Drosophila melanogaster: one gene and its partners. The protein of the gene in region 1 interacts with the protein of each later gene in a pairwise test. Each region holds a gene or a part of one and is shown on either strand. Other genes may lie near its edges. The genes, in order: Nep3, CG3500, RNASEK and Mpcp1.

Region 1 (6,895 bases):
GCTGTGCTCACCGCTTTTAGGATCACCTCCTTGGAGGCAAAGCCACCCATGGCGTCGATGCACTGGATCACCAGGTGGCTAATATTCGATTTTTTTTGCGACATTTGAATATCAAATTTGCTTCGTTTACAAAATAATTTAAACTTTCACTATTATGAATAAATTTTTGTTTAGTAATGTTCAATGTAGTTCTCTAAGCCTTCTGGGCTTACCAAAATCAAATCAACTAATTCATTCTGACAACAACCCACCTTCCAGTAAAAAGCATTCTATGTTTTAGTAAATTTAGTAAAGAATTTACACAACTGAAAAGTTTACATAAATTAAGCTTAGAGACTAATTCACAAAAAAAAAAAACGATCCCACACTGCAACCGCATCAAAATCTCATGCCGCCCAAGGCCAATCCAAGTGCTATGGTCACGGTGACGCCCACCGAGCTGCCGATGATTGCTCCGCCATTCTGGTAGCCATAGGTACCCGGGTAGTTGGGGTCCGGCCGTACGCCCATGTAGCCCGGCTGGCCGGGATGGCCCACCTGGTTGTTGTAGGAGAAGGGACGACCGTGCTCGTCCGTACCGCTCACGTAGTAGGCTCCATTGCCACCCGCTCCACCGTAGGTACCACGCGAATCGATGCCGGCGTATCCGTAGCTGAACTGCGGATCCTGGCCACTCAGACTTCCCGGCGGATGCATCCCGCCGGACTGGGCGCTCGAATAGACGCCAACGCCGGCCGCATTTCCATTGTTCCAGTGCACCGTTCCGGCCTGGGCATCCACTGGATTCAAATGAAATGTGCTTGAATTAGTAACGCATGTAAAAGGTAACTTTCCTTGACCACAATGTACCCGCCACTTCTCGTGGACCAAACATGCTACATGGTCGTTATCAAAATGAGACCTAATACTATTACACATTTTAAATCAAATAGTTTAAAAATTTTGCTTTCATATTTGGTTTCAAATAGAAGAGATCAATAATTTGCTGATAATATCGCAGTGCTTAATTCTCCATTAGAAGTTGAAATTGAATTTGTTTACTTGGCACCGTCGAAATGGTATCGTGTGTGCGAATGCGATGTGTTATTTTCCATGGAAAAGCCGCTGAGGTTTATACGTATGTTTATTTATCGTATTTTTTGTGCGATTTTTCATATGTTCTGTTAGCGTTTCACTCACCAGCACTAAAATGAACTAGTGCCAATCCGATAACAATGACGATCAGAATGCGATTGAAATTCGACATGTTTTCCGAATGCGCGTTTGACTTCAACTAAACCGCTTCCAAAGTGCCATTGACGGTTTTAAACTCGATTCCCAAGCTCGGCTCTCATGTTATGAGTAACAATAGCGATTTTCTGCTGCCCTGAGTCATATTATTTGGTGTTTATTTACTCAATTTGAATGGAGCTGTAGTTTCGGTGGGGTATGATCAAAATAGGCACTTTATTTAGCACTGAAATCGAAAATCGAAACAACAGATTAAACATCTTAAATCTTTTTGGGTAAAATATTACCACTAGGTATCATATAGTCGAATTGCACAAAAATTTTCTCTGTTACAAGTTTACAACCTGTATTTATCTCACTCTGTAATTAGATATGACTTGTGACTTGAGATTAACAAAATAGTTTCGGTTAGCTGCAGGTAATGGGTATCTTTTAGTCGACGCACTTTTCTCAATTAATTTGCGTCTGCTTTATTAAGGAATCCTCAAAATAAAATTTAGCTATACTAGTGGTATTAATTCTTCTTATTGTTCATATCCATTCATCGTTTATTTGTTCCACATGCAGATGAGATTATTTTCTTTTCGATCAAAGAACATAAAACCGCGGTCGTACTTTATTTTCCCAAACGAGAACACGCAACTTCAAGTGCTTTCATGTTCGAGTGTCGAGATGTTATTTTTTTTTTTTTTTTTGCTGTATAGAACACGATAATTGGTTGGGTCATTAATGATATGCACGACACGGGCCGGGGTCATTTTGGGTTAAGGTGTGCTCCCATGTTGGTTTGCCCCAGAAGTCGAGATACATACATACATACATATATGTACATAGATCTTCTGGCGAATGGGGAATGCCGAGTCACAGTGCTTTGATGATCGCCCGAATTGTATTCGAACCTTCGTTGATCTTTTATGACCAAGTATATTTTGCATACATATTTTTCTAAATATTAACATATGCATGTTGTATATGCATATAAATAAACAAATATATATATATATATATATATTTATATATGTGTGTATTGTTGTCCGTCCGTTTCGCACTTTTCAGGTGAGTGGCGTTCGGAGGCGGGCAAACAATGCAGGTACGTTGTGGCTACCGTTCGACGGAAAATACATACAAACATACATATACATATGTACATACATGTATGTAGAAAACGAAAAGCCTCACAATACAATTGGTGGGCATGTGCGAATTGTTTGCTTTCTCAGTTGTGACGTAAAGCAATTTAGGTCGGCCGATAGGGTTATGCTAATGGACTATTCAATACCTTATGCTTGTATTTTTACTGCTTTGCCGAAGATAGTGAAATTGAATAGTGACTTTGTCATTCGACTGACATGTTCATTGACGTTCATTATTCATAGCCATTGCTCGCACAGGATTCATTGTTTCTAGAAGCTGTATGCTGAATCTCAATCTTCTAGCTTTTATAGTACCTGAGATCTACGGATACGGACAGATACGGACAGACGGACATGGCTAGATCGACTTGGCTATTGATCTTGATCAAGAATATATATACTTTATATAGTTCGAAACGCTTCATTCTGCCTGTTACAATGCTTTTTTAACGAATCTAGTATAACCTTCTACTCTACGAGTAACTGGTATTCAAATTTAGCTGATTAATTGAGAATTACGAGAATCGTTAGCTTTGGATACTCGATTACGTGGGTTAAACCGATAGCTTGTTGAAGGGCACTGTGATTGTCTGGCAACTCGTTGCGCGAAGCGTTGCCACCGTTCAAACAGATCCTGCGCAGTGGACCACGTTCTCCGGCAATGGGTTCAACTCGCTCCCTCCTGCCACGCATTTCTCTCTCTGTTTGTGTGTGTTTTGCTCATCTAATACGTTTGTGTTATGGTTTTTCCATTTTCGAGGGAGTCCAACCACCCGACTCCCAGCGCCGAGTGAAATTTGGAGAGAAAAGGCTAGTTCGAGTGCGATTACCGCTGCTGCTGGTGCTGGAGCTGGCTGTCAGTGGCTCGAGTTGGCAGTGTTGGTGGATACCGTTGCCTTTTTGTGGCTCAGAGCGGTTTGTTTGACCGCGAGCGGAATGCAGATAAGCGCGTTTTAAATGAATCACTGAACGATCGAATGTTATACCCATCGAGGGTCGGCCAAACTTAATCGAAAGTGCACCAATAAACGGCAAAGGGTCGAGAAAAAGCGAGCGCAGGGAGCTGGAAAAGTTGCATTGCCTTCTTTCTAGCGCACAAAGAAAATGAGCGCAAAGGTAGGCCAAGAGCGCGCCTCTCTTTTGCTGAACGTGTGTGTGTGTGTGTGTGAGTGTGTCAGTGTGTGAGTGTGCTGTATGTGCAATCAGAAGTACCACCCCACCACACCACACCACTTCCAAACAGTCCGATTCAAAGTCATAATTTCATTTGCATTTGAATAAATGCATCCCAGGCACACCACCCTCTCACCACTCACACATCTAAGCTGCTCCGATTTTATGGTCCTTGGTATAGAGAAATTGTAAGGAAAGCTGCACAAATGAAGTAGCTACCATATGGTATACCAAATAGCCAGGATACTCGCAGCCAAATCGAGAAAGGAGGTGGCATAACGACAGATAATGACGAGTCGAGAGCACTCATTCTACCAGATTTCAACTCAGTGCAGCTCAAGTGAAATCCCATTGTGGTGGTGATTCGGTGAATCCCTGCAGTTATCATCTGTTGCCCTGCAAAAAAAATGGCATGAAGAGCCGTTTATGAACTCGGAGAATCCGAAGTAGCCATCATTGACTTTCACATGGGCTCCGTTCGGTTCATTAAAACTCCCTTGGATGGACGCTTTGGTAGAATAGTCGTAGTAAATGGTTGAGTGAAATATCCTTATTTCGAGCATAAGACTAAGGTATATAATAACTTAGTTAATCATTTTCAATGGGACCTAAAGTTGCATCATATTCAATCATGTTATGAACTTAATATATTTCCCATAAAAGTATTAAGACGTCAATTCCGTTGATTTGCCCATTAAGTCGAACCTTTCAATGGTTTTCTACCTCCTTGTTTTTCAATACATTAGCCGATTTGATTGGTGGCAAAAGGAGGGCTCGTTAGGCGTAACGCCATTTAATGCGTGTTTACATTCAACAGTCTGCTAAATGTCAGTTGGTGTGCAGCCTGTGTTTACATTGCGATGGAAAATCGTGGCGAGAAGCAGTCCAAACTGAGGGATACCTCTTGCTTAATGTGTTTTTAAATGTGGTTCTATGTGGCCCATCCATTTTCACGTGTATTATATACCTATTGTATACCTGCAATATCATATCGCCCCCATCCATCATATGTTATTTATATCGCTTGTTGTCCGACACCAGATTACGTTCGTAAATCTATATCGAAAGCTTAAAGATACCAATTTGTTGGCAAACAAGATCGAGTGCGAAATCATATCATATGGCGCCTTTCCGATCCCCGATCCCAAATCGACATTAGAATATTATTCGGCATACCGAAAATGGGTGGGTTGATATAGAAGATATATAGAAGTGCACATAAGCAAGGCCGAATCTTTTGGTGTATATTTGCATTGTGTTAATTGAATACATATGCCGCTCCTTTTCATTTTAATGCGCCCAGTATATCCATTTCGGCTACATCTTGGCACATATTGCCGCAGTAAACACGCACACAGCCGCCAGTCAATTAATTTGAGTACAATGCAAAACTATCCAATATAACGCGCCGTTGGCCCGTAGATGTTTTCTGCTTTCGGCGGGCATTGTTGAATTGGTTGGTCGCAGAACTCGGAACTCGCAGTCCCTGAGTTCCGAAGCTCTCCGGGCTCGACCGCCAGTGCCTTGCGAGCGGTCATGGGCTAAGCACAGATAGTATCGTTGCCGCGCTCTGTTTTCGTATAGCTCCTCCCGTCGAAGTTCCGAAAAATAAACACACTACCGCATACCGTGCTCTCCCCATACACAAAGATTAACCAAAATGTGGCTTTCCGACTGCCGTTCGGTATGTCCGTGCTTCAGCTCCTGTATCCCATTCACTTTTAGTTGGGCACCTTAGTTAGACATGGAATGCTGACAAGTGGTTGAGAATGGGTTTTGTTCATGTTCATGTTTCAGACTTCGCGATTTCTTTCGAATGGATATCTAGATAGCGAGTAAAAATAGTCCAAAGATTACGAGGAACTCTTAGTACAAAATTATACATATATTTCTCTTAAGTTGTTGTGCATTACCTTTTTCTATTTCTATATTTCCATATAGTTTGGGTAATTTGCAAATTGTTCCTATGATGAATGCACATTTTCTGAAAACCCAAGGCATATCGTAAACTTGGAATGCTCTGCTGACTGCTGAAGGGTTAACACTTTTGAGTACATAGAGCACCATATGAAAATGGGCAGCAGTGGGGGATGTGAGAGAAATGTAAAGCACAAGGCGTTGAGTGAGCGCTAAAGAACGCACGGTATCTATACAATCCGAGCGGAAAAGCTTCGGTCTACTTATCAGATGCCCTAGACCAAAACATGTGATAACAGATAGCAGCAACATATTTAGATTATTAGATACACGTTGGTAGGCAATTTGATGGGTTTGCAACAATTCGATTCTCATTCCAGATGACGCGCTACAAGCAGACCGAATTCACGGAGGACGACTCGAGTTCCATCGGCGGCATTCAATTGAACGAAGCGACCGGCCATACGGGCATGCAGATACGCTACCACACCGCCCGGGTATGTAAGAAACCTGTCGGGGTAACACCGTGCATCCGTGCAATGCAATTCAGTCGGATAGCCACTTAGTTGTCGTTGGGCTTCAGCTTTATCTTTGTGGCAATGACCCAGAAACGAGTGGCAAATGGGGCCAAAGTGAGCGCTTTTCTCATTTGCTCGAAGGTTGCCAGTTGACAGTGAAAAGTCTGCTCTTATGAGTGGGAGCGCGTTGGTGTGAGCTTTTCCCTCTGCGAACTGACATGAATACCCTATCTGGTGACAGGGTAACGATGGCTTTGAGAGGCGGTTCGTTGTTCAAATAAATTTAAACTTCATGTGATATTATTCCATAGATATACGAAAGCACTTGACCGTATACAACTGTATCAACAAAATGTCTAAAAGCAAGTTAAATTACTATAGAATTTAAACAGTGTGGTACAATATTTGTCTTTGGAGACTGCATTTCATGAGTCGTTGCGGCTTCTGAAAAGCCATTTATCTATATCTCAGCGATATATGGAAAAATTAGCAGGCAAGTGCCTTACGCTTACGAAATGTATCCCATGTAGATACCACCCCAATGTGTACAAGTTTGAACTCATTTGAACCGCCGTCGTCTTGTTTACAAAACACACAATTCGCTGGAAAAGATTTATGGGGCGAATCTTTTGTGCCGCCATGTGGAGGCCAGAATGATTGGTGGCTAATGCGGCGTTTTCATTTCACAGGCTACATGGAATTGGCGCTCGAGAAACAAGACGGAGAAATGGCTGCTCATCACGACTTTTGTGATGGCCATCACGATCTTTACGCTGCTCATCGTCCTTTTCACAGATGGAGGCAGCAGCGATGCGACCAAGCACGTCCTTCACGTCCAGCCGCACCAAAAAGGTATGGATTGGGTGAATGTAATCTAGGAATTTCCAAGGATACACAATCGTCTCCCTTTCAGATTGTCCTTCC
Region 2 (5,276 bases), on another chromosome or scaffold:
AAAAGTTAGTTTTCCGTAATTACACTGTGCAAACGGACGTCGTGCGACTCCATGGGCAACTCCTCGTTGCTGACTATCTGCTCGTTGAGCGACAGTGCCATCAGCGAGATCTTCTTGTGCGGATACTTCTCCGCGTGCTGCTTGAGGAACTTGTCGTAGTAGCCCATGCCATGGCCCATCCGAGCTCCGCAGCGGGTGAAGGCCACACCGGGCACAATGAAGAGATCGATGCCGTGCCCTGTGGTGATCGAGTGTGTGTGTGTGGGTTTAGAAGGAGCTCTGATGTATGCCTAGCCACTCACCGTTGGTCATGGCATCCTCGCGTGCCTCCTTGAAGTCCGGCTGCTTTATGTTCCACTTGGTCAGAGGCAGGCTCTCGTACTCCTCCATGCCGCGCAGCCGCACCATCTTCATCCTGCTGCCCTCGTAGGTGGGCACAAAGACCATCTTCTCCAGGCGGAACATCTCCGACAGCAGCGCCGTGGTGTCCAGCTCCGAGGCTGTGCTCAGGTAAATGCTCACCCGCTGCGCCTGCCGGAAGATCTCGCTTTGCAGCACCTGTGCGATCGAGCCGATTAGGGGGATTGGGAATTAACTTGATAACCTTGGGGCCCAGCCAAACCAATGTTACCTTAGCCGTGACGGCCTGCGACTGCCGGGCGATGGCCTCCGCGTCGATGCCCTTCAGTGCATCCTTCATGCGCTTTCGCAGCGCCACCTTCAGGGTGTTCTGGATCGTGGCCGCCATTCCTGCCGCTGGATCATCTACTGCACACTCGAGCGAACCGGTGCGAACTGTTTCCATCTGCCTGCGCGGTCCATGCGTCTTTAGGTCGCCACTCCGCCGCCCGTTATCAGCTGCGCTTACACTGACGCTTATCTGTCGGCTGTTCCGCTTTGCAGCGCTGTTCGTAAACAAATGGAAGTGGAGCGGTCTGGGGAAAGTTTAGGCTTGCAGTTTGGGTGAGCCGCGGGGCGATCAGCTGATCAGGGATGGGAGTTATCCAATACACAACCAGTTGTAAATTAAACAAAATATATTTGGAGTACCATTCCCATTAAATACAATTCAGACAATCCAGCCTAACCATAGTTAAGCTAGTGGAGTTCAAAGCTCCTGGTTGGGCTCACTTCTTGGGAGCCTCTGGTGCCTTAGGCTCCGTCTTGGTCTTCAGGTTCTTCAGTTGCTCCTTTTGCTGCAGGGAAACATGGAATCTTTACCTCGTGTACAGTCTGGTGTAGTAGAAAGAGCTCACCTGCTTGTAGAAGAACTCCTCCTCGCGAGCAGCCTCCATTTTGCCAAATGAACCGCCCGCCTCCCGGATGGATCCGCCGCCGCCGCCGCCGTTGCCGGCTCCACTGCCCAGTTCTCCGATCTGCGACATCTTCAAGTGCCTGCAAAGCGATTCGAAAACGGTTCTAGAATCTTACGCAACTGCTCTCCAAATCGCGAAACCTACTGAATCTGCTTGGGATACCAGCGCTGACTGAATCGTCGCAGTGTAAACATGTTTGCCTCTATCGGTTTATCGGTTTATATAGTATAGTTAAGCTATATATAAGGGATGAGTAGCCGCTGAAATTTCGATTTCGACGACTTGCGAAAACAAACTGGTGAACATTGGACAATAGCGCTGCTAAAAATACTGAGTGGGCACGGAAATAGAAACACATTCACTAAATAGGGGCTAAAGAACTTTAGTTTTAATCAACTGGGATGACCCAATGGATTTTTAATTACTTCCTTAATTCCATAAAAACTTTCTACAAAGATTGCAACTAACAATTTTATTGAGCCGTGTCATGTGGATAAGTTGGGTGATTATGATGATGATGCGCCTGAAGAAATCGGTGTATGGCATTTAAACATAAACAACTAACTATTTGGTGTTCTGGGGATCTGATTCGAGTTCCAGTTCTGTGGCAGTATGGCGAGATTTGAGCTCTTCTTGGGCACGATCGTGCAATAATTTGATGTCGTCTGCAGTCTGAAAGCAAAGATATTGCAATGGAAATTAGAAGAAAAATGAGCTGGAGACTTATAGCAACCTTGTTCAGGAAAAAGGCCTCCTCGAGTACGTTCTTGTGCTTGTTCATGGAAGAGGTGCTGCCCAGCGAGGCGTGGTCCAGAGTCTTCTGGAACTCGTCCCAGTTGGGCAGGTAGTCGCCGGGCTCCTTCTTGTCCCGCATCTTGCCCACGAGGGTTTGGGTCAACGAAATGAAGTACTCCTCCTCCTTGAGACCGCCCTGCAGCTTGCCAAGTCCGCCGCCCCAAAGGAAAACACCCGGGGGCTTCTTCTCCTCGGAGTAGAGCTTCCTGGGCGCCAGGCCGAGTCTTCAGGGATTTCGGATGGGGTGTTTAAGGGAAGGAGTTATGTGCAAGCGCTACTCACTTTGGATTGAGACCCATGCTCAGTCTACGCTGCACTATTCCTGCACAAAACATCCTTGCACGTGCGAGTATGGAACACATACGAAAAGTTACGGATTTTTCGAAAAGGCTGGACAATTTGCAGGATATCAAAAGCAGAATCTAGACTGTTTGCTTCAGATGAAATTTGAAACGGTTGCTTTCTAAGATATTCGGTTTTGATATCCGACATTTTATAAAGAATTGAACTCGTTTTACTTATGAATGTATTTTTACTTCATTTGCAGATATTTTTAAGTCATGGTCCATGGATGCTGCTGCTCACATTAGTTAGTTTGCATATGGATTTCAATCCTAAATTCCTCATGTTTCCCACAAAAAATATTTGAAAAAGCGTTGGAACGAGAATATCTGGCAGCTCTGCGCATTAGTGTGCCCGTTTCTATACAAGCTGATTAAATGTTTGGTATTTCGAGCCACACACCACACGCCACTCTAATCGGATTGTTTTGTTTTGTCGGCCGATTTGAGCCGTATATATCCTTCGATTCCGCCTGAAGTACGCAAGATGGCCGTCCTGTACCTGCTGGGATGGGTTTCGCTGGCCATACAGATCGTGTTCCTCACCCTGTCGATTGGTGAGCTGTCGCCGTGCAGCCGCACTTGTCCAATTGCAACGTCTGCAATTTGTATTTCCAGTGGCTGGTCTCTATTATCTGGCGGAGCTGGCCGAGGAGTACACGACGGCGGCTAGGAAGTGCATCCTATTTCTGATCAGCTTCACGATCTTCGTCTACATCCTGCTGCTGCTGTTCGAGGACCTGCCGTGGAGCCTTATCATCTGCGGACTGGTGGCGCAGGGCTTCCACCTGGGCATCATGAGTGGATTCCCCTTCGTGCGCCTGCTCTCGCTGCCGCTGCTGGGCTCCCTGGCCATGCTGGTGGTCAATCACTTCCTGGCCTTCCAGCATTTCGTCACTGTCTATGTGCCTTTCACGCAGGTGAGCATATGTATTGCATAAATCATTAGTCATGGAAAGCGCATTCGCTACGTACAAACGTATGTACGTTTTTATACAGCCATTATATGCAATATGCATTGCATTGTGTATCCACATCATCAGTTTGTTTACATACAACTTGAATTAGGCCGCAGCAAACGCCTAAAGGAAATTTACACTTTCAGGTGCTGGCTTACTTTACCATCTGCATGTGGATCGTGCCCTTCGCCCTGTTCGTCTCGCTGAGTGCGAATGACAGTGTCCTGCCCACCACCGTCAGCGACCAGAGCCGGCGCAGTCCGGACGTGGTCAGCAACTACTTCTCGCGTAACAAGAAGCAGGGCCTGCTGTCGCTGTTCCAGTATCTGAAAGAGGCCCTGCTCCCTGGGCGGACCAAGAAGGCCTTCTAGATCTAGCTTGTTTAATGTTTATTTATTTTTGTAGCCGCAATCGAGACAAAAGTATACAAAGCGCATGTGAACTGACATTCGACATCCACTTTATTGTAGTGGAACTGTAACCAATTGAGATTTAGTGGGTCTGATTTCAGTGTAATGGATACCCTTTTGTGGTGATTTGGACGTATTTCGATGTTATACTTGAATGAAGAAGCTGAATAAGATTCGTTTGCTGAAACTTTCAAGTTAGGACACATCGTTTTCTCGGCTAAGAACTCAATATGTATTTAAATCCATTACAAATGGCAAACCTAAAATTTAAGGAACAACTTGGTGAAACATAAATGCAAAAAGCGCTCCCCCAACTCCGCCCAAGAACTACTTGTTCTGGACCTTGACCGAGCCATTGGCCATGCCGTAGTAGCATTTGTGGGCCATGTTCACGAACAGGCCCGTCTCCAGGACGCCCGGGATGAGGGTGATGGCGCGGTTGACCTCGTCCCAGTCGTACTCCCTGTTGGCGATGAACTTCCAGTCCAGGAGGAAGTTGCCATTGTCCGTGACAATGGGTCCCGCCTTCACCTTGGCCATACGCAACGAGGCCTCGCCGCCGAAAAGCGCCTCGATGTGCAGCTTGATGGGCACGTACGCCATGGGCGCCACCTCGATGGGCACGCCGCGGCACCACTGCTCGCCCAGGCGGATGGAGTTCTTTGTGTAGTCGGCCACCACGATGAAGTGCTTGGCGCAGGAGGCCACCACCTTCTCCTGCAGCAAGCAGCCGCCGCCGCCCTTGATCAGCACCATATGGCGATCGACCTCGTCGGCCCCGTCGATGGCCACGTCTATGTTGGGATTCCTGTCCAGATCGCCCAGGTTAAGGTTGTAGTCGAGTATCAGATGGCGCGCCTGGTAGGACGAGGGCACGCAGATGAGGTCCGTCAGCTCGCCCTCCTTCCACACGCGCTCCGCGATCCGCTGCACGGCGTACACCACCGTCGATCCGCTGCCAATCCCCAGAATCTTCGTATCCTCAGTCACCCACTGGTCCACCGCCGTGCGGGCCGCCGTCTTCTTGGCCGCGTCCAGCGCAATGTCATCCATCATGCGTATCTGGGTGTGGAGTGTTGCCGCTGCGCCGCTCAAAAGATCTTCGCCGAGTTGCTGGGTGAAGGTGAACCGTGCTCTTTGGACGCCTCGTCGCAAAAACCCAGATAACATGTGGTTAACAGGCTTGCTTTCAATCGCAACTTCAATGTCACAGAGATCAAGCCGCCGGTGCGGGATTTTTGGTGAAGCGCTAGGGATTTTTCGCTGTTGCGCCGGCCGGGCTAACAGAGCTGTTAGTTGCGCGCCAACTGTTAGCTGTTAAAATTATTCTGTTTACGTTATCTAAACTCAAGCACATATGGTTTCTAGATCGAAATCCACACTGGAAATAAAAGGGATTTTATTTTGTTATGGTTTATATATTAATATAGGGATTACCTTTGGTAGCAGCGGTCT
Region 3 (5,404 bases), on another chromosome or scaffold:
AGAACTAATAAAATTATAAAAAAATATCCAACAAATGTGGGCGGGTTAGTTTTGGGCTAAAGTGAACGTGAAAAAAGTTTTTTGCAAATCAAAATTTCTTTCGATTAAAAATGTGAACGAATTGTGAACGCTAAGAGCGTAAGAAATATAAAAATAGAATTTTCTTGCTTGTGTGAGTAAAAAAAGAGAAGAGAACGCCTATATGTGTGCGTGTTGTGCTAGAATACGATTTTCGGGACGAAATCAATTCTGATCGAAGAAACGATTTTACATATTTGGGGAGTTTTGGCCAATTTCGTAGCAATATGATGAAATTGCGCGCTGTTAAAAAATATCAAATTTGAATATAAAAAAAAGAATATGAAAAAACAACTGAATCTAATGTGCACTTTAAATAATAAAATTTGATTATTTACATACATAATATTAAAATGTATATCAATATTAAATATTATAATAATATTAAAAAATATCAAATGACTAATAAATATACTAAATAATTAAAGCAAATACAAAGGAAATTATTATAACTACTGTAATCTAAAACATAAATTTTACAAATTTAATTTTTTACGCGCCGTAAGCTGAATACTCTAATGACAAATATTCTAATGTAAAGTCATTTTTGAAATTTATTTTGTGATGTACATAGATTTCGCTATTTCTAATCTATTTTCAAATAATAATAACGTTAAGGCAATGCAAACAAGAATTTTTCGCATGGTGCCAATTGATCAAAAATAATACAGACTTAAGACTTTGCTTAGACTTAGACTTTGCATTGCCTTAAAAGTCTAAGAACTTCTAAGGAGAAGGGCATATTTTGTCAAATTTACAATGCATGTTGTCTGCTATCACTGTATGCGTAGAAAAGAGCTTTTCGCTGTAGCGCTCTCCGCTCTCTCGATCTTGAACAAAAATTCGGGAGAGCCTGGAGCCACCTCTAGAGCCACGCCGAAAAAATCGTGTGCCAAAAAGTCGTTATGGCGGTACGCATCTTGTTATTCTAGAGTCTTTGATAAAACCCTATCAAAAAATAAGACAAGACGAAATTGTAGGTTGTCAATATTTTTGGAAAAACCAAATCAGACGCATGTGAACTCGTTTATCGCGCGAGGCGAGTTGCATCTCAATTGCGCTGAAGAATACATGTTTTTAACTGGTGTCGGTTGATGGATAGACTGGAAGTATGAAATCGATCTTTCGGATAAAGGCACTGAGTTCTGGGGTATTACCACTGAATGTGGGTATTTGCCTAATTTGGCTTAAGGCTTGATTCAGATGGGATTCCGATAACAGTTTGACTTGCTCGGTTGCCATGGCTGATGATTTTATTTTTATTTTTGTTTTTACACTTTTATTGACCGTATGCAGTAGGTTTGACTATTGCGTGTCAACCACCGATTATAAGTAGTTCTTTTGCGGATAAAAGAGTTAATTGTATTACGATTTTATGTTCACTTTAGCGCCGATTCGCGTGGTTCAATCTTAAGCAGGGTTATGGCGATTGATAACGTACTCAGAACTGAACTAACGTATTGGGGCATGTTTGGGTTTATGTAGGCAGATTGGGATAGCTTAAGAGCGAAGCTTAAGAGAACAACGTTATCAACGTCTATTCTCCTGTTAAGAGAGGAGCTTCCGAAAAATAGGATTAATTGGAGAATCCTGAGACGATTGTGTGGGCGGAAGTTTTTGTTATTTCAGTTGGTTCACCAAGTGATCGGATATTTAGGGGACGTGGACGTTGGCTCGACGCAGAGTCTAGACTTTGGAATTCGGACTTTTGCACTTTGCTGTGAGTAATTGACAGCTAAGCTTAATCGAAGGGCTCTCGATCTTTAATTACATTTCGTACTTACACATTGATGTGTGTGTGTAATTGTTTACGATAGTGTGTGTGGTTGGGGAGTTGTGGGTATAGAATGGATATGTTAATATATATATATGATATAATATAATATATATATGTCGGTGAAGCCGAGCGTCCAATTAATTAGCACAGCAAGTCGCCTGCGTGTTGTCTCTTTGGCAGTTCTCACCAGACTTATTTACTCAAGCGTCGCCTTCTCGATGCTATTCTTCTATTTCTCATCTTCAAAATTCTTTTTTTGTTTTATCCTTACTTCGTTTCCACAAAACTCTACCACAACAACAACAGGCGCCATGCTAATTTGAATACACACACAAATGATGCCCACTCAATAACGGAACTCATTCCGTGAATTTTATTACTCGCTGCTCATCCTTAACATACGGATCAATAAACAAATGTCGGTTACATTCAAATAATAATTCAAATAATATGTTAGATCTACTCAATCTCCGACATATATATTAAAATATTAATAATTATAATAATAAAATTAATAATATTAAAATTATTATTATTATATATATATATATGTATATATATATTTATTTATTATACTTATTGTATTGTATTGTATATATATATATATATATATAATATATATATTATAATATATTATATATATATTGTTATATAAATTAACAGGCAACGATTTTGTGTATTGCGATTTATTATGCGACTATGCGCGTTCTGATGAGTTTTAAAACTAAAGACAGAAAACTTAAGCTTAATATGAAGTAGCCCGTTTTCTGAAGCAGCGCTCACGGCAGAATGCTGACATCGCGCTTCACACGCTCCGGGCAGTAGAATGTTGACCATTGCGCTTCACACGCTCCGGGCAGTGACTAAAATTACTAAAACGGCCCTTGTTCCTTTTCCACCGCTCCTAAATCGTCACTAGCTCACCGACGCTAGTTTGACGAGCTTATGTTTTTTATCGCTTACATTTGCATCAGTTTTTTAATTTTATTTGTGCACAGCCACACCAAAAGTTTGGTCACATGATATGTTCACCTGACAAAATCACAGTTTTCATTGAGGAATTGTGACGAATTGTGTTTGCTGAAACTTTTTATTCTCTTAAAAGTGTTTAACAAAAATTTAAGAAAATGAAAATCTGTGGCCCGAAACTATCACTTTGTGGTCTTATTATCTCTGTTTGGGGTATTGTCCAATTGGTGAGTACTGAGAATCTAATTTCGTCAAAGTTTCAAAAAGTAACCACTTACATATTTATGTTAAAGGTTTTAATGGGTCTATTCTTCTACATAAATAGTGTAGCCCTCATTGAGGACTTACCTCTTGAGGAGGAATACCATTCGTTGGAAGATTTTTATGCAGCTGCAAATAGAGCATACAATCAGGTATGTTCTCTTTTTACAACAACCATATGTACACATACGTCTGCTAATGCAAGGTAAATTTTTTCAGAATGCCTACAACTGCTGGATTGCCGCATGTATATATGTTTTGACTTTGTTGCTCTCCGCCCAGCAATTTTACATGAATAGCAGAGTAACTGCCAACTAATATTTCAGATGTAGTTTCCCAACTACTTAAAACTAGTATTGAAATTTTCCCTTCGATATATTTGTTAGAGGTGTTTTCCTTTTAATAAAGTTAAAGTTCAATTTAAATGTTACAACATGCTTATTGTATTAAGGGGCGGAGTGAGGAGTTTGTGTTTTTTAAACCCCAAAGAAGACTATTCACTTCATTTTTTATGTTTCATGTGTTCAGTGCGCCATTCACTTCTTATTTCTGTTATATATTTAAATTTTGAGAATTAATATATTTGATTACTATAGTAGCGATAAATCCAAACTCCGGAATTTCCTTCAGAGTCATGAAAGCACTTTTTTTTATTAAAGAGGTCAATCTGAACAAATTGTTGAAATGATATTTTATTTCTCCACGGGAATTTTACCTACGGAAGACCTAAAAAAAGGTATTTTAAATGTTTATTACGGTTATTACTGATATTGTGTGGAACGGTTTGGCGAGACATGAATTATTCGTACTGTTTTTAATTTTGTTGATAGCTATTATTAAATTACCCAACTTACAAATATTTTATTTATAAATTAATTAAAGTAGTTAGTAAGGTCATTACTGTCTTGATTTCCTATATCAAGCTGGTAATTAATTATGTTACGTTACGTCGTTCTGTAACATGTACATATGAACACGAGATTATCTTGTGCGCTGTGTTGCTGTATCCACATACACTAGTCGGTAAGCATTTTGACAAAATAAACTCCAAACCTTTTTTCAGTGAAACTTTTAAATGGTTTAATATGATAGTAATGTCTATTTTTTGTGTGTAAGTAAGTCGAACCTTTACTAAATCCTCCATATTGTAAAGGATCATCTCTTTAAAAAGAGAAGTGATTTCAGAAATCGCCTTCTAACGAGTTTTGTGTCACGGAACAGTTATTTTCCGTTTTAAAAGAGACCAGATTTCTTAATTATATTTAAATCTGGACTTTGAGGTGCACAATTCAAGAGAGTGACGCCAACAGCCTTTAGAAACTTGGCTATCATTCGGGCTTTGTGGCACGGAGCATAATCTTTCTGCAGGATAAATGATCCTCGATCAGCCTATTTCCAGAAGGAAACGCATTTTCGTTTAGGGTCGTCAAACATTGCCTTTGGTTCATCGAGCCGGAGACAGGGACCAAGTCACCGAACCGAAGACACTAGAGTAACAGATGCGTAGTGCCATACTCTCAAATTTTTGTTCGAGAGCGAGAGAGCGGAGAGCGCTACAGCGAACAGCTCTTTTCGACGCCTGCAGTGATAGCAGACAACTGTATGTGTGCACACGTATGCTCATGCATTGTAAATTTGACAAAATATGCCCTTCACCTTAAAAGTTCTTAGACTTTAAATCTATATTATTTTTGATAAATAGGCACCATGTGAAAAATTATTGTTTTGCATTGCCTTAACGTTACTATTATTTAATAAAGCTTAGAAATAGAAATAGCCGAATCATAATATCACAAAATAAATTTCAAAAATGACTATATTAAAATAATTGTCATTAGAGTATTCAGCTCGCGACGTTGTGTCCGCACTTCGTGCCTCAAGATTTTTCAAGACTTTTGTAATAAACAGTTTTTTAAGCAGTATTTTCTACAACGTATTATTTGTAGACAATTTTTTTTCAATGTAATGACTTTTTTTGGAAAATTTTTGTTTTATAATTACAATTATAACAATTTCCAAAATGTGTTGCAATAGTAAAGTACGGAAATATAAGCGCAAATAGTAATTGGTAAGTAGTGGAAAATAAACGCGAAGTTCATGTAAATATAGGACCCATTACAATTGTAGTGGCCTCCCCGTGGTGTTCCCTGGGCACCGATTATTACATATGTATGTCCTCACGCCCTGTGCCATTAAACGTCGTCAAACTGGGCGGCCACTACTTTTGGGAAGCCTGGCGGTCAGATTCCACTGCGTTTCAACGGCTGGGGTTTTGGAAAATTTTTTTTTAAATTCCCTCATAAAGACTTTGTCGTCAGT
Region 4 (6,392 bases), on another chromosome or scaffold:
CAGGCGATGCAGCAGTTGAGACGACGGCACCAGGACGCAAGGGGCTCACTACGCAGCCATGTCATTCGACGGTACATCGCCAGTGTGAGTGGAGTGCTGCAATTGTACCCAGGTTGCTTGCTTAGCAGCAGCTATGATCCAACGCGAAGGCCATGGTTCCGACAGGCAATAGCGCAGCCTGGAAAGATTGTTAGCACAGCTCCGTATCTGGATGCCGGAGGAGCTGGATACATAATCACCATTGCGCACACCATCTTCGAAGGCAAGGCCCATGCGCTGCACTCTGCCCAGCAGGACAGACCCGTAGCAGTGGTAGCCCTGGACGTTCCTTATGCCTTCTACTATCGCCTGATCCTGGAGGGCACACCGATCTGCCAGCTGCCGCATATAAAGTGTCTGCTGTTCGAGCACGAGGGATATTTGTTGGCTCACCCCAGCATGTTGCAGCCCGCCACACTCACGAAAAACCAGCGACGTCCACATGAGCACCTCACACACAAGGAATCGTATTTGGCCAACGATATGTTGAACCACGGCCAATTGGTACGAAAACTCGGCTGTGCCAGCTACCAAAACCGCACGTTGCAGCGTTACTACGCCTTCAACACATCTCTGTCCAGCATCCTGGGCAACGTAGTGCACGGCGAGCGAACCAAGTACGCGATTGCCCTGATCCGTGGTAGCAATCTATTCGCAGCCGTACTAAACTCCAGCTGCGATGGCGGCGCCTTTTGCCCGTGCAGCACAATCGACAGAGAGTGTCTCAACTGCAAGCGAATGGACCAAACAGACTGCGAGTGTCCTTGCGAGTGTCCAATGGTGGGAGACAGCAGCTCACCATCGTCCCTCATGTACTTTGCCAACTACACGCGACAATTTCCGTACTGTCCACCGCCAAGTGAACATTTCATTGCACTTCCACCGACCACACAGCTGCTGAGTACTCTGCCGAATTGTCCTGGTTCTGCTGGCATATGCGAAACGTATTCCACTCAAAGAGAATGCCTCGGAGTGATGGGCTGCGAATGGTGCCAGCTGGATGTGGACGGCAATAGTTTTTCGACCTCCTTCTGCTCGTCCCAGGCGAGCTGCTTCAACGGAGTACTTGCCTCGCTGACACCCTACGGTGAGCTGGACGAGATGGAACTGCTGGCCGCCCACAATCCGCAGAGAGAGCAGCACGCTTACTCTGCATTTGGTCCGCTAGGAGGAGCCATTGTGGTGCTTGTCATGGTGATTGGCTTTGCCATCTACTGCTACAGACACAATCTGGATGCGCAGACGCAGGAGCACTTCTATGTGGATTCGGTACAGGAAGAGAATTACGGCTTGCCGCTGTCCAGGTTCAACTTTGACGATTGCAAAGCGCATGACGAGCCGCCTCTTGGTGGCGGCTATGACCACGCATCTGCACAGCGGCAGCTGATGCACGCGGCGGATATTTCGCCCTACCACGTTTCCAGCGGCAGTAGCTATCGCCGGCCACCCAACGGTGAGTCGGATCATGGCTACAGCACAATGACGCCGCACGAGGACAGTTCCGATCAGCAGTGCTTCACGCTGGCGGAACCTTTGCTGCTGCACGACAAGCGGCACAGCAAGTCGGACACCATGTCCATATCCACATCCATATCGAGTCCCACGAATCGACAGCAGTCCTCCTCGCAGCCAAACACGCATCCCTACTTGAGCAATCAGCCGACCTCAAAGACGGAACGCTACAAGCAGGTGCAGGCCACGCCCTCGCCATGTCGCGGAACGCCAGCAGGTGGTAGTGTCTACGGGCAGACGACGTTGCCCCTCGAGGGGGATAAGACCCGGCCACACTATATCCTGGCACCAGTGACGGTGCACCGGCACATGGAAACTGCCGAATCGTAGTCCACAATAGCGTTGTTAAGTTTTAGAGCGTAAGATGTCCGCTTGTTTGCCAATTTAGTTATGTAAGTTTCCAAAATGGGCAGTTCAACTGCCGACAGTCCAGAATGCTGGGCCCGCATTCCAAACCCGCAATGTGTTTTGTGAGCTCGCGGTGGCCTCCATTGTTGGCCCATCTGTATCTATTAGAGCCTCCGTGGACGAGACGAACACCAACTATTAAGTGATGACATTGTTTCTGCCATTTTTGATCGATGTATTGTATTTGTATTGTATTGTATTTTACTGTAATTTATTGCAAAAAGTATTACTATATTATGTGCAGCTATATACTTCCGATATTTTTAGCATTTATTTGATAAGCACCAACAACAGAAATGTACTTACTTGTCTGATTGTAAGATACCATGTCGTATATCGTTTTTTGTAATAGCCCCTAAGACTACAGAGTTACTAACTACTGATTTTAGTAATACACATCTATAATAGCATTGTACGTTTCAAATAAAATGTTTAAATTTTGCAAAAAAAACCCACAAGATCTTAACCTTGATCCAGAGCGATCGGATGAATCGATTGGGCTGCCAATTGCTCGTCCTCCGATCAGCTGGTCGTACGTTAATGAAATTATTTTTACACCTATACATTTTATAAGCAAACCAGACGCTGCTCAATGGGCTCTTTTTTTGCTGTGGTGGCCAAGAATTGCCAATTTATAAATAACAATCTCTATTCGGGGGTTGTCAGGTGGCTTTTAGAGCAAAATTAGCTATGGATCTTTGGTGTAAGTTTTTACCCGATACCCAACCATTTCATAACCGTCATTAACCGATGTCATAAGGCTGAGATAGCCAACATATTCAATATCTTCAAAAAGAAAGTGTCTTTATACTGATTAGCTGTGCATTTGCTGTGTAAGTTCTTACCCGATACGCAACCGTTTCGAAACCGTTATCAACCGGTTGGCTTTGCACTCGGCTGGCAACCCTGAACCGAAGCTGCTAGCTCTCACTATACCATTGCAGCCACTGCATTTGGTTTTCTGGTCTGGCGCACGACGAACGTTGCTTTGGGTCCCCACATTTCAGCCCAACAACGACTCTATACTTCAACTATATCTAATCCCTATCTGCACTTCACCTCCTTCGATACCCCGCACTTTGAAGTGAGTGTTTAAGTTTGCTCGGTGTTTTGAAAACCGTTCTGTTTTCGAACATTTTCGAAATATACGCAAAGTGATACAATACGTACTCTGGGGAGAACATTACGCAATGCATAAAAAGTGTTTGGCGAATGAGAAAAAACAATAGTTATGTAAAAAATAATGCAAGTATACATTCTCAATTTCAATATAACTTGATAAAAAAAAGAAAGTTTATAAAAAAAGTTTTTTGATGAAGTGATTTCGGATTGAATATATTATTGCCAATGCTTATCATTTACTATTGCTAATTAATTTTTAAATTATAATGATACTAGAAAAACAGTTTTTAAATAATTGTATAATCTTTCAGGATTAAAGAACATAACTTCTATGTGCTCAAACGTTTTTGACAAAAGAAAGTACGAAATATTAATTTATAGATGTAAAAACAATTAAAATAGATTAAATGTATTTAGTGTAGGCGGTACCACTTGCAATTTAGTTTGTTACATCATGACCTTAACCTTAAACCCATTCGAAACCCTTGATCTCTGTTTTCAAAGGCACTTCTCTAAGGCATCATGTTTAAGTCCCTGTTCGATGCCGCGCAGAACTCAACGTTCAAGTCGCCATTCACTAGCGTCAACTGCCAGTCAGCCACGCCCACTTCCGCCCCCACATCCACCGCGGTGGTGACCCCCACCCTCAAGGATGTTGCTCCACGCCAGCTGACTCGAAACCACAACATCGCTGCCGCTGCCGTTGCCGAGGGTGGTAAGTGGGACAAGTCCTCCTGGAATCACCAATGAGTTGGATATATAAGTATTGTTAATACCTCTGCAGACTCCTGCGAATTCGGCTCGAACCACTACTTCCTGCTGTGCGGCCTGGGCGGCATCATCTCGTGCGGCTCCACACACACCATGGTGGTGCCCCTGGATTTGGTCAAGTGCCGCCTGCAGGTGGACCCGGCCAAGTACAAGAGCGTGTTCACCGGCTTCCGCATCAGCTTGGCTGAGGAGGGCGTCCGCGGATTGGCCAAGGGATGGGCACCCACCTTCATCGGCTACTCGATGCAGGGTCTGTGCAAGTTCGGCCTGTACGAGGTCTTCAAGAAGGTGTACGGCGATGCTATCGGCGAGGAGAACGCATTCCTCTACAGAACCGGACTCTATTTGGCTGCATCGGCATCCGCTGAGTTCTTCGCCGATATCGCCCTGGCGCCCATGGAGGCGGCCAAGGTCAAGATCCAGACCACGCCCGGATTCGCCAAGACATTGCGCGAGGCTCTGCCCAAGATGACCGCCCAGGAGGGCGTGACCGCCTTCTACAAGGGCCTGGTGCCATTGTGGATGCGCCAGATCCCATACACCATGATGAAGTTCGCCTGCTTCGAGCGGACGCTGGAGCTGCTGTACAAGTATGTGGTGCCCAAGCCACGTGCCGATTGCACCAAGGGTGAGCAGTTGGTGGTGACCTTCGCCGCCGGTTACATTGCCGGCGTGTTCTGCGCCATCGTCTCGCATCCGGCGGACACAGTGGTGTCCAAGCTGAACCAGGCCAAGGGTGCCTCCGCCCTGGACGTGGCCAAGCAGCTGGGTTGGTCTGGTAAGTGCTGACATTTGATGGGATTTCCTGTTCCTCATCTAAAACATTCGCTTTTTTCCAATTCAGGATTGTGGGGCGGTTTGGTGCCCAGGATCGTGATGATCGGCACATTGACCGCCGCCCAGTGGTTCATCTACGATGCCGTCAAGGTGTTCCTGCGCATGCCACGCCCACCACCACCAGAAATGCCCGAGTCCCTGAAGAAGAAGCTGGGCGTGACTGGCGAGCAGTAAACCAAATATAAGCTAACTGTTTTTAAATTTAGAGCGAGCAGAATGTTAATCGAATTAAACTTGATTTGTATAGATAAACCACACAGTAAATAAAAACCACACAAAAATTAAACGCTCTTTGTATCAAGGGGTAAAAGAAAATTTCAATTTAAAATAACCGCCAAGCTCGAGTGCACACCTCCATATTTTCCAACACTAATTTAGCACTTTTAGTTCAATACCGAACAGCTGAGCTTAACAGCCCCGTCCAATGTCAACAAACAGAGGGAAGAAGAAGCAGCATTCAACACGCGGTTTTTTGAACTGCATTTTTATTTCACTTTTATTAAGTTAAAATAGATAATTATGGTTCAGAATAAACAGAAAACAGCGAAGCCACCAAAGCTGCTAAAAGGCGCAGCCAAGGAGCCTGCACTTTCGAAGGCGGAAAACTGGCAGAAGGTTAAAATCAAGGGCCACGTGATATCCGACGATGGTGGCGGCTTCGAGGGATTAATTGGCCTGGAGGTCCTCAAGGACTACGATGCATCGCTGGTGAAGTCCTCGCAGAAGAGGACCACATCCCGGAATCCAGACAGAGAGCGCAAGCTGAAGAAGAAAAAGAGGAAGGTATCGAAGGGCGACGAGGAGGAATCCAGCGAGAGTTCCAGCGAATCCGAAAGCGAGGATGAAGTGGCGGTCGCTGCTAGGACCAGTAAAAAAGCCCGCCTGGCCGAGCGTCATGCGCAAAAAATGCAGAAACTGCGCGAGAAGCGTGAAAAGCGAAAGGAGCTGCGGAAACAGAAGAAATCGAAGGGCAAGGAAAACGACAACAGTGAGGAGTCCAGTGATGAGCACGCGGCAGATCGTTTCGCATTGCTCAGGCCACCACCATCGGACGATGAAGAAGAAGTGGTCAAGGCGGAAGATTCGGCAGACCAACAGGAGTCGACCGACGAAGAAGCACCCGAATTAGTGCCCATCTCCACAGGCGAAGCCGAAGATATGTCCGCCTGGAACGGCCTGGGTGTTCCCGCTTCCATTTTGCGTGCCCTCGGCGAGCAAGGCTTCAAGACGCCCACACAAATCCAGGCACTGACGCTGCCGGCTGCAATCCACGGCAAAAAGGACATCCTTGGAGCAGCCGAAACGGGCAGCGGAAAAACCCTGGCCTTTGGCATACCCATGCTCGCCGGAATCATGGAGCTGAAGCAAAGGAATATTCGCTCTGGCATACGCAAGGCGCCCAAGGTGAAGGGACAGCAGCCGGAGCCAGCGGCAGATGAGCACGAGCTGACGCCCCCGCCGGAGGAGCTGGATCATGTTTCCGGTGCCAGTGATGAGGAGAGCGATGCGGAGGAGCAGGCCCAGCGTGTACAGACTCCTCTGTACGGTCTGGTTCTCACACCCACCAGGGAGTTGGCCGTGCAGGTCAAGAATCACCTGGTGGCTGCTGCAAAGTATACAGGCATTCGAGTGGCAGCCATCTTCGGAGGTCTAGCTGTTGCGAAACAGGAACGAGTACTTCGCCAGTGCCCGGACATCGTGGT

The links.
Region 2: the proteins of Nep3 (region 1) and CG3500 interact in a two-hybrid assay, tested with the Drosophila melanogaster proteins (one large-scale study listed by BioGRID).
Region 3: the proteins of Nep3 (region 1) and RNASEK interact in a two-hybrid assay, tested with the Drosophila melanogaster proteins (one large-scale study listed by BioGRID).
Region 4: the proteins of Nep3 (region 1) and Mpcp1 interact in a two-hybrid assay, tested with the Drosophila melanogaster proteins (one large-scale study listed by BioGRID).

The regions. Positions count from the first base shown.
Region 1 is NC_004354.4:19,958,122-19,965,016, forward strand, and holds the start of Nep3 (neprilysin 3), read left to right. Parts: upstream 1-3,175; 5' UTR 3,176-3,479; intron 3,480-3,567; exon of another isoform or gene 3,568-3,724; intron 3,725-5,054; exon of another isoform or gene 5,055-5,220; intron 5,221-5,833; coding exon 5,834-5,950; intron 5,951-6,660; coding exon 6,661-6,823; intron 6,824-6,884; coding exon 6,885-6,895. Other genes in the region: CG43784 (uncharacterized protein), read right to left, coding at 1-104; CG12655 (uncharacterized protein), read right to left, coding at 379-779, 1,180-1,246. UniProt on the Drosophila melanogaster protein: Metalloendoprotease which is required in the dorsal paired medial neurons for the proper formation of long-term (LTM) and middle-term memories (MTM).
Region 2 is NT_033778.4:23,354,952-23,360,227, reverse strand, and holds CG3500 (uncharacterized protein), read left to right. Parts: upstream 1-2,662; 5' UTR 2,663-2,939; coding exon 2,940-3,009; intron 3,010-3,070; coding exon 3,071-3,372; intron 3,373-3,557; coding exon 3,558-3,782; 3' UTR 3,783-3,856; downstream 3,857-5,276. Other genes in the region: Mthfs (methenyltetrahydrofolate synthetase), read right to left, coding at 6-238, 303-558, 632-748; CG34423 (uncharacterized protein), read right to left, coding at 1,128-1,196, 1,257-1,395, 1,461-1,510; CG9875 (uncharacterized protein), read right to left, coding at 1,881-1,988, 2,050-2,335, 2,394-2,473; Rpi (Ribose-5-phosphate isomerase), read right to left, coding at 4,149-4,874.
Region 3 is NT_033778.4:4,185,593-4,190,996, reverse strand, and holds RNASEK (ribonuclease kappa), read left to right. Parts: upstream 1-2,869; 5' UTR 2,870-2,982; coding exon 2,983-3,051; intron 3,052-3,117; coding exon 3,118-3,237; intron 3,238-3,304; coding exon 3,305-3,403; 3' UTR 3,404-4,162; downstream 4,163-5,404.
Region 4 is NT_033778.4:20,277,639-20,284,030, reverse strand, and holds Mpcp1 (mitochondrial phosphate carrier protein 1), read left to right. Parts: upstream 1-2,903; 5' UTR 2,904-3,043; intron 3,044-3,093; exon of another isoform or gene 3,094-3,187; intron 3,188-3,421; exon of another isoform or gene 3,422-3,441; intron 3,442-3,585; 5' UTR 3,586-3,603; coding exon 3,604-3,796; intron 3,797-3,865; coding exon 3,866-4,630; intron 4,631-4,696; coding exon 4,697-4,863; 3' UTR 4,864-4,965; downstream 4,966-6,392. Other genes in the region: CG16868 (uncharacterized protein), read left to right, coding at 1-1,881; CG9143 (uncharacterized protein), read left to right, coding at 5,209-6,392.